Linked DNA regions of Macaca mulatta. The protein of the gene in region 2 purifies or fractionates together with the protein of the main gene of each other region. This does not show direct contact. Links are inferred from orthologs where the notes say so. Each region holds a gene or a part of one and is shown on either strand. Other genes may lie near its edges.

Region 1 (5,035 bases), on a different chromosome or scaffold from region 2:
CGGCAAACCTGGGGCAGAGGCTCGTCAGGGAGTTCGGGGGGGGGGGGGCCAAGCGGAGCCCCACAGGGAGTCCCGCTCCCACGTCTGGGTGGCGTCCTCTCGTGAGTGGAAGTCTAATACACCCTTGAGGATGTATTGAGGATGGGGACTGGGGGTCCCTCGCAGGTGTGGGCCATGGGAGATCTGTCAGAGCTGAGAATGGGCGTCACTGCCAGTGGGAAGACTGAGATGATCTCACAGGTGGGAGTCTGGAGGTCACTTAGGTGGAGGCTGGAGTCACTCATAGGTAGGGTTGGGGGGGTCTTCGCAGGTGGGGTTCAGAAGTCACTAAGATTGGGGGGCCACTCCCAGTTGGGGAACAAGTCATGGGTGTGAGGTGGGGTATGGACTGAGTCCCACCCAGATGGAGTTGAGTTGTGACACTCATCTCTGGTCACCCGGGGGTGAGAAACTGTGGGATTCCTCACAGCTGTGGCGCAGGAGGTCAGGATCATTTTATTTTTATTTTATTTATTTTTTTTTGAGACGGAGTCTCGCTCTGTCGCCCAGGCTGGAGTGCAGTGGCATGTGATCTCGGCTCACTGCAAGCTCCGCCTCCCGGGTTCACGCCATTCTCCCGCCTCAGCCTCCCAAGTAGCTGAGACTACAGGCGCCCGCCACCACGCCCGGCTAGTTTTTTGTATTTTTAGTAGAGACGGGGTTTCACCATGTTAGCCAGGATAGTCTCGATCTCCTGACCTCGTGATCCACCCGCCTCGGCCTCCCAAAGTGCTGGGATTACAGGCTTGAGCCACCGCGCCCGGCCAGGATCATTTTAGAGTAAGGGTTGGGTGGGGTCACTTCAGATGGAGACAGAGGGGTCGCTCCCAGAGGGGCTGGGGTCACTCACAGATGAGGGGGCACTTCATAGAAGCTGACGCCACGGTAACGCTCCATGTGCTGCCGGCTGTAGATCTGCAGGTCCCGGTAGGGGTTGACAGAGACCAGGACGGGGCCAATGTAGGTCTGGGGTTGGGGGAAGAGGGTCAAAAGTTGATCCCGGGCCAGGTGCGATGGCTCACGCCTGTAATCCCAGCACTTTGGGAGGCCGAGGCAGGCGGGTCACCTGAGGTTGGGAGTTCGAGACCAGCCTGACCAATATGGGGAAACCCCATCTCTACTAAAAATACAAAATTAGCCGGGCATGGTGGCACATGCCTGTAGTCCCAGCTACTCGGGAGGCTGAGGCAGAATTGCTTGAACCGGGGAGGAGGAGGTTGCAGTGAGCCAAGATTGCGCCACTGCACTCCAGCCTGGGCAACAAGAGTGAAACTCCGTCTCAAACAACAAAAACAAGTTTATCCTGGTGACCCCTGGTGTCTCCTTCCCCTCTGCCCTGTGTCTGTGACCCCAGCACCCCTGCCATCTCCCCACAAGGGCCTCACATAGATGAGGTTCTCCCGAAACCGCCGCCGCAGGTTCTCGATAAAGGCGGCCTCGCTGGTGAAGTTCTCCAGCAGCACGAAATCCTGCACCCCCACCCGGTCACGGGCAGTCAGCGCACTCTCCATGGTCACCCGAACCCCGTCACTGCCCAGGGCCTGCAGAGAATGGGCCACAGAAGAGGGTCAGAGTCATGGGGGACCAGGCAAGGCCACTTCTCCTCCACTGTGCCTGTGGGACTGAGAGGGAACGCAGGGGCTTGTGGACTCAGGGCTGGACATGGGACATGAGCCTGATGGGTGCGGAAGGCCTGGGTGTGGAGGGCCTGGGTTTGGAGGGTCTGGGTGTGGTGGGCAGGGTGCAGAAAGCCGGGTGTGGAGGGCCTGGGTCTGGGTGTCGCAGCACAGGGATCACCGAGGCTGCGGGCACAGAACAGAGACCACATGAAGCACTTGGGTCCCGGTGTGTACACAGGGCACGGACGCACGCAGGACCAGAGGGCAGAATCTGGGAGGTGCCGGTTTTGGGTGGAGAAAGGAGCGGGTCACAAGAAGGAACTCCTTGAAATAGCAGAAAGACTGCTCTGTGGAGCTTGGACCAAGCCCCTCCTCTCTCTGGGCTGCTTCCTCCTCAAGGAGGAGGAGTTAGACCAGGTGACCTCAGGTCCCTTAGCTCTGAGCCACGTGTGACAGGTGCTTTGGAGGACAAATGGCTCAGGGTCAATTCTGCAGGCAGAGTGGGGCCGTCTCTCCCATCGGGACCCACCCACATCTCCACAGGTAGAGCGTCTCGCACCAAGGAAGAGGTTACTCCCAGACTACACCAGAGGGGTTCCCCCGGAGGGCCTCCCACCCCAGCTGGGCTCAGCCACCCACTCCAGAAGGGGGGGACTCCCTCGCATGGCTGGGGCCACTCCCTTTCCTCCAGCTGCCGAACTCCCCAGGCGCCTCCTCCACTGAGTCCTGAGAAGCCTCAGGGGATGGGGGGTTTACCATGGAAAGCCCAGCTGCCTCTGGGTCCCACTGGAGGGCTCAGCAAGACCCTCACCCCACAACCAGGGCTGAGATGGATCCCCCTCCAAACAGGGTCTCAGGGCTCCAGAAAACGGACACCCAGAGTATCCAGGGTCAGAGAAGAACAAGGTGGTGGTGACTGGGGGTGGATCCCAAAGGGGCCGCCGGGTGTCCTCTGACCACAAAAGGCCCAGATTCCTGGCCTGGGGCGTCACTCCGGGCCGGGCCGGGGGCCTGCCCCTCCCAGGCTTGTCCTCCCCGCCCCGCTCCAATCCCGCGCCCAAGCGGCTGCCAAATCCGGCCGCGGTCCCCGCCCCCTCGCCCTCGGGTCAGGGGTCTCCGAGTTCTCAGGCGTCCCCGGCAGCTCCTCGTCCGGCCCCCCGGGTCCGAGCGTCCCGCGCGGCCCTCCCCGCCTCGGCCTCCTCCCCCTGCAACTTCCCGGGACGTTTTTCCACACGGAATTCCTGGGCCGCGCCCGCTTCCTGGCGAGGCCGAGGCGACGCCGCGAGGCGGGGAGGGGCGCCCGGGACCCTCCGCCCCGCCCTGCCCTGCCGCCCCCCGGCTCACCGACGCCCGGTAGCGCATCCTGCCCCGCCGGCCTGGCGCCCGCTCTGCTGCCCGCGCTCTGGGTCCCGGGCTCGGCGGCGGCGGCGGCGGCGTCAGCGAGGGAGGGCCCGCCCCCCGCACCGCCCCCACCAGGGCCCCTGAAGCGCGGGGCTTCCCCGGCCTCCCTCGCCTCCCGCGCGGCCGGGCTGGGGTCCCCGCCAGGTGGGGTTGGTGGAGGTGGGGGTGTCGGGGGGGGGTCCGCGGGCGGGGCCGGGGGCGGGCGGGGCGGGCTCCGCCTGAGTCAGGTTTTCCAGGAGGGACGCCGTTGGTTCCAGGGTGGAGCCCGGAACCCGCGCGGCCGCCGCGTCTACACCGACCCGGAACTCACTTCCGGGCCTGGGACGACACTCCGCGGCGGGCTCGGGTTCTGGGCGGGCACCGAGGCCTGCGGGTCCCAGAGGAAGCGGGATTTCCCTCCCCCAACCCCCGAACTCGAGTCCCGGGAAAGTTAAAAATAGAACCAATGTCCAAATACGGCCGGCGCGCCTGGCGGGCGGAGCGTTCTCCGTGCGGGACGCCGTCCACCCACACGCGCCGGGGCCTGGCCGGAGCCTCGAACCCAGGAAGATCTTGGTTTTCCTCGTCAGCACGGAGCGCGTGCCCCAGGGACAGGGACGGCCACCGGGTGCCCTGGCTGAGCGCGCGGAGTCCTCGGCACCTCTGGAGGGCTCAGTTCCCCCCTCTGGGAAATTCGCGTATCCCCGCCCACGGCATTTGGGGCCCACAGCCTCTCCCCACCCGAGGCACCCCACTCGCCTCTGGGCCCGGGCCTCCTCCCTCTCCTTTTTTTTCTTTTTTTTTTTGAGACAGAGTCGCGCTAGCTCCCACGTTGGAGTTCAGTGGCGCGATCTCGGCTCACTGCAACCTACGCCTCCCGGGTTTAGCGATTCTCCTGCCTCAGCCTCCCGAGTAGCTGGGATTACAGGCACCCGCCACCACACTCGGCTAATTTTTGTATTTTTGGTAGACACGGGGTTTCATCATGTTGGCCAGGCTGGTCTCGAACTCCTGACCTCAGGTGATCCACCCGCCTCGGCCTCCCAAAGTGCTGGGATGACAGGCGTGAGCCACCGCGCTCGGCCCATCTCCCTCCCTGCTTTGAAGGGGACCTCTCTCGTCTCTCCGGATCTCCGGGACGCCCCCCAACTCCGAACCGGCCTTGGCAGCCCCGCCCTCGCTGGGCTCTGCGGGCACCACACTCCCTCGCCTGGGGCAAACCTTGGCTCAGATCCCACCGCGGGCAGGGGCGGAGACGTCTAGAGCCAGCAAAAGCTGGTGCTTCCTCGCGGTGGGACTCTGAGCTAGTCACTTAACGTTTCGGCTTCTGTTCCTCATCCCCAACATGAGGTTAACACAGGCCTAGAAGGGCCGTTGGGTGGCCTGAGATAGAGCGCGAAGGCATCTCCCAGACCGCTCTAGACCCCGCTTCCCACACCCACCGCCTTCCCTCCGCCGGACGCTCATTCCTCACTTGCTTGCGGGCAGAGGCCTACTGAGAGTCAGGCCCTGGGCCACGCTTCCGATCCGGTGAGGAGAGCCTCAGGCGCGTCTACAGGCACCTGCCTGTCCTACCAACGCAACGGCAGACACAGACTCGCCCTGGGGGGGTGGGCAGAGCCGGGACCCAAAGCCCCAGCGCCCCACCCCCAGCTCGCGGACGCCGCTCCCTGGGGAGAGGGCGAGGCTGCGGCAGGTGCGGGCTGGATCCTCGCGGGGAATGCTAGTTACTGCAACAACAGCCCGGCCGGAGCGGCGGCCCCGGGGACCCCCAAGCGGGGGCGCCAGCTGGTGGGGGCAGGGGAGCGGGGAAGGGGAAATGGGGGCGTCTCGGGCAGAGGCGGGGGAGGGCGGGAGGAGGCGCCCGCTGCGGTGCCCCCAGGTTTAAAATCCAGAGGGAGGGCCAGGCGCGGTGGCTCACGCCTGTAATCCCAGCGCTTTGGGAGGCCGAGGCAGGCGGATCATCAGAGTTCAGGAGTTCGAGACCAGCCTGGCCA
Region 2 (5,035 bases):
TCCTCAATGGGGTGGTAGATTTTTTTTTTTTTTCCTTAAAAAATTTTTTTGTTTTTTTTAATACTCAGAGGAGAGGGACATAGGAAAGGTAAAGTGGATGTAATCGGGTGGGTGTTAGGGTTTGGGGCTAGGTGGGGCCAATTGCATAAGCAGTGGAGTGTGTTCTCCCTGCAGTGTTCCTTCCCGTGGGATGATAACTCTTTAGCTTTATTTGGGGCTAGAATGAGATTTGAAGAAGGCCATGGAACTTCTCTTTAGAAAGCCTGCCTTGGCTGGGCCTGGTGGCTCACCTCTAATCCCAGTGCTTTGGGAGGCCAAGATGGGAGGATTGCTTGAGCCCAAGAATTTGAGACTAGCCTGGGCAGTGTAGTAAGACTTTGTCTCTACCAGAAAAACCAGGCGTGGTGGCGCATGCCTGTAGTCCCAGCTACTTGGGAGGCTAAGGCAGGAGGGTTTGCTTGAGCTTGGGACACGGAGGCGGCAGTAAGCTGTAATTGTGCCACTGTACTCCAGCCTGGGTGATAGAGTAAGACCCTGTATCAAAACCTGCCTTTTGGGATTGGGCTTCTGTTTTTTCCCATGACATACCCATCCTTTCCTATTTTGTCCTCTGGGTCTTAATATTAACTATCTTCCCCCAGAGAAGTACAAAAGTGTTAGGAAAGTTGTATTTTGGAGTTGTGGTAATTTCTGTCTTTGTTACTCTCCTCCCCTTCAGGGGGTTTTTAAATTTTAAAGATGAATGCAGTGAGGTATAATGGTGTGTGCCTGTAGTCCCAGCTATTCGGGAGACTGAAGCAGGAGGATCACTTGAGCCCAGGAATTTGAGGCTATAATGTGCTATGATTGTGCCAGTGAATAGCCACTGCACTCCAGCCTGGGCAACATGGTGAGATCCTGTCCCTTAAAAGCATATCTGCCTGCTCTGAATTTGGTTTTTTAATACCACTTACTGATACCTTCCCTGTAAACCTGTAGATGGTTTAATTCTTAGTGAAGAGACCAGTCTCATCTAAAATTATCCTGTTGTGGTCTGACGGCAAGTTACTTATCTTGAGTAATTTTTGTTTCTCCTTAAGTGGCATTTTGACTGTCCATTGCAGTGTTCTGATCTTAAAATTGACATCCACTTTCCTAATGTATATGAGATTCTCTTAGTTGAAGTAGGAGAATCAAATGGAGCAGTTGTCCTGCCCCCACCCCATGTTCTTACAAGCAGCTGTGATGGAGTTATTCTGACCTTGAGTCACTGCCTCCCATCATTTCCCAGACGTTTGGGCCTTGCTCTCCCTTTGAGAATCATCTTCCACATTTTTTCTTTCTTCTCCCACCTCTATTTGAGGTAGTGGCATCTGTGCCATTGGGTGGTTTCACTGCTCCTTTACTTCATTTGCAGTTTCTTTCCCATGATAGTTTTTAGTTGGGCAGTCTTAAAACCCCTCTGATAGGAAGGAAATTAGATGTAATGTGAGAGAGACCACAGTAAAATATGGGTAGTTTTGGGAGTGGGGTGGGGTTTTCAATCTTCTCTTTCCTCCCCATCCCCCCATGGGGTGTATTGGAGATCAGCTTCCTCCACCCCCCCAGGTTTAACCCCCCCACTCTGCCCTCCTCCCGTTCCCCACCCCTTCCTCCCCCCCAGCCAATGGAGATCTTCGTGGATGATGAGACGAAGTTGACGCTGCATGGGTTGCAGCAGTACTACGTGAAACTGAAGGACAACGAGAAGAACCGGAAGCTCTTTGACCTTCTGGATGTCCTTGAGTTCAACCAGGTCAGTTACACGTCCAGTAGGGGGATGAGCATTGGAGCACTCCAGCTGTAGCAGAAACCTGGATATTAAGTACACTTTTATTGAGGAAATCACATGTGTGATGTGGGAGAGAATTATGAGGGTGTAAACATTAGGGGCTGAGCATGAGTAAGGTGGAAGCTGCTTTTCTATTCTGTGGTTGGCATGGATATGTATGTCCTCAATAACCTCAAGGAAAATAAACTTCAAAAGTTAAGATCCTTGGCCAGGTACGGTGGCTTATGTGTGTACTCCCAGCACTTTGGGAGACTGAGGCAGGTGGATCACTTGAGTCTAGGACTTTGAGACCAGTCTGGGCAACATGGCGAAACTTCACTACCAAAGAAGAAAAAGTTAGCCAGGTGTGGTGGTGTATGCCTGTAGTCCCAGATACTCTGGTGGCTGAGGTGGGAGGATAGCTTGAGCCCAGGAGATTGAGGCTGCAGTGAACTATGATTGCACTACTGTGCTCCAGCTTGGGCAGTGGAGTGAGACCTTGTCTCCAAAAGTCCTTGAAAGGTTTTAGGAAGTTGTTAAAGGCTTGAAATGATTTTGGGGGGCAAGTTAGGGTTCTTACATGTTTAATTCCTCTAATAACTGCTTATTCAAGAGAAGCATTTGTGACTGGGTGCAGGGCAGTGGCTCATGCCCATAAATCCCAGTACTTTGGGAGGCTGAGGCAGGAACATCGCTTGAGCCCAGAACTTCAAGACCAGCATGGGTAACAGAGAGAGGCCCATCTCTACAAATAGTAAAAAAAAAAAGAAAGGAGTTGGGTGTGGTGGTGTGCACCTGTGGTCCCAGCTACTTGGGATGCTGAGGTGGAAGGATCTCTTGAGCCCAGGAGGTGTAGGCTGCAGTGACCCACGATTGCACCACTGCACTCCAGTCTGGGGGACAGTGACCCCATGTCAAAAAAGTGTTTCATTAATATACTTGTGAGTGGCCTATTTGCACTTAAAACTACTTTATAGAATTAGGATAGCTCCCTTAGGTTTAATGTTTTGGTGAGCAGGAATATCAGTTACCCCCCCAGATCTTAATTCTAGTTTTTTATCACTTTTTCATGAGGTGATCTCATCCTTGTCTCCTACCATGTCTGGCAGTTTTGGTTTCTGAACTTTGTGCTACCTCAGAGGCCAGCCTCCCTAGGGAAAAATCAGTGCTAAAATAAAGTTATATTTCCTCTTCTGCTCTAAATATATAATGGGGGAATAAGAGAGATGAAGAGGAATTCCTGAGAACGTAATTACTAGAAACTCCTCTCTCCCATGTAATGTCTCACACACACTATGGACTCCTATTCCCCCAATTCGCGACCCCCCCACCTCCCACCCCACCCCACAACAGGTGGTGATCTTTGTGAAGTCTGTGCAGCGGTGCATTGCCTTGGCCCAGCTACTGGTGGAGCAGAACTTTCCAGCCATTGCCATCCACCGTGGGATGCCCCAGGAGGAGAGGTGAGTTGAAGATGGGAAAGATATTTTGTGTCTTTGGGAGAAAGACAGTTGAGAGAAGGGCATCTCAACATTTTTAAAATTTCCTTTCTCACAAAGGCTTTCTCGGTATCAGCAGTTTAAAGATTTTCAACGACGAATTCTTGTGGCTACCAACCTATTTGGCCGAGGCATGGACATCGAGCGGGTGAACATTGCTTTTAATTATGACATGCCTGAGGATTCTGACACCTACCTACATCGGGTAAACCCCACAGGCTGAAGAAATCCCACTCTCCCATTCCCTTCTTTTCTATTTGTACATCTTCATCCCTGCCTCTGGATCTCTTTCCTCTTTGATCTTCCAGTGCTACCCTCTGTCTCCTTCCAGGTGGCCAGAGCAGGCCGGTTTGGCACCAAGGGCTTGGCTATCACATTTGTGTCCGATGAGAATGATGCCAAGATCCTCAATGATGTGCAGGATCGCTTTGAGGTCAATATTAGTGAGCTGCCTGATGAGATAGACATCTCCTCCTACAGTGAGTACTGATCTCATGAAACCCTTTAGGTCCTCCCTGTTCCTTAGTGTGTTTGTCCTAAATCCCATCACTTAGATCATTGGCACCTGATGCATAATGGACACTTGGCTGGTTCATGCCCCCTGATCTTTGATGCTGTGTTGGGATGCTTTCCTGACCTTTATGTGGGGTCTCTGTCTTCTCTCATCGTATTACATCCCTTCCCTCACCCCCACATCTGTTCTCTGAACCCACATAGTACACCAGCATCTGCATGTGCGCTGTGTGTTCCTGCCTTGCTTTCCCCTTTTCATGCCTTATTCTGACCATGCTATGTTTTCTCCTTAGTTGAACAGACACGGTAGAAGACTCGCCCATTCTGGAATGTGACCGTCTGTCCTTCAGGAGAGGACACCAGGGTGGGGGTGAAGGAGACACTACTGCCCCCACCCCTGACAGCCCCCACCCCATGGCTTCCATCTTTTGCATCACCACCACTCCTGAACCCCCATTTCTGATTTGTCAGAATTTTTTTTAACAAAACTAAAAATGAAACACATGTGTCTGTGGTATCTATAAGTGCTTCGTCCCTTTATTGTATTTGGGGTGAGGTATTTTAGGGCATGGTCCAGCGTAAATTCCTGTAAGGCCTGGGTGCCCTGCCTGCTGTGAGATTAAAGGGGAATGGGACTAAGACTGCAGAGCCCTGGCTCCCCCACTACCTGCCAATTGCCCGCGATTTGTGGGGGTCTCTTCCACTTTCTCTGGTCTGGGAGCGGCTGGGGTGTCTCTGATCCCAAGGCCGCTGGTGGGTGGCACATGGATTTTCAGTGCCAGAGGGTGCTGTGGGCACTAGGGGAAGCTTAGGCGCCTCCTCCCAGGCTCTCTCGGTGCCTCCTCATCTGTTCCTTCAGCTTCTGGATCTTGAGCACCAGGGCTTGGGCCTCCCAGGCTCCCTCCTGTCCTTCCAGGAGGGCCTGGTATAGCTCCAGCTGCTGTTCCAGCAACTCTTCAGCTTGGGCCAGCTCAGCTGTGCGGTGGATCCCGGGGCCCTGGTGAGGGAATTAGGGGAGGGAGCATCAGCCAGGGCAGGGGGCCGAGGCCCTGGGAAACTGTTGCAGGCTCTGGGCTGGAAGTGAGAAATTCCACCTTCCCTATCTGGTTTTGACCCAGTCCTTTAAGGACACCTGTATTGAGAAGCCCAGGTAGCTCCCTGTCTTGGGCATAGGCCTTTGGTGGGGGGGGTGCAGATAGAGTTCCCTGGCCCAGGGGCCATAACTGGTTTCCTT

The links.
Region 1: the proteins of DDX39B (region 2) and MYO1C purify together in Homo sapiens (affinity purification with mass spectrometry; 5 studies listed by BioGRID and IntAct, with this or other methods). This does not show direct contact. The link is inferred for Macaca mulatta from reciprocal best matches to the Homo sapiens genes DDX39B and MYO1C.

What each region holds. Positions count from the first base shown.
Region 1 is NC_133421.1:3,034,556-3,039,590, forward strand, and holds part of MYO1C (unconventional myosin-Ic), read right to left. Parts: intron 4,638-5,035; exon of another isoform or gene 4,513-4,637; intron 3,704-4,512; exon of another isoform or gene 3,370-3,703; intron 3,224-3,369; exon of another isoform or gene 3,021-3,223; coding exon of another isoform or gene 3,003-3,020; intron 1,581-3,002; coding exon 1,425-1,580; intron 1,006-1,424; coding exon 890-1,005; intron 9-889; coding exon 1-8.
Region 2 is NC_133409.1:150,796,440-150,801,474, forward strand, and holds the end of DDX39B (spliceosome RNA helicase DDX39B), read left to right. Parts: intron 1-1,642; coding exon 1,643-1,774; intron 1,775-3,142; coding exon 3,143-3,252; intron 3,253-3,348; coding exon 3,349-3,493; intron 3,494-3,619; coding exon 3,620-3,767; intron 3,768-4,094; coding exon 4,095-4,111; downstream 4,112-5,035. Other genes in the region: MCCD1 (mitochondrial coiled-coil domain protein 1 precursor), read right to left, coding at 4,610-4,798. UniProt on the Homo sapiens protein: Involved in nuclear export of spliced and unspliced mRNA. Component of the TREX complex which is thought to couple mRNA transcription, processing and nuclear export, and specifically associates with spliced mRNA and not with unspliced pre-mRNA.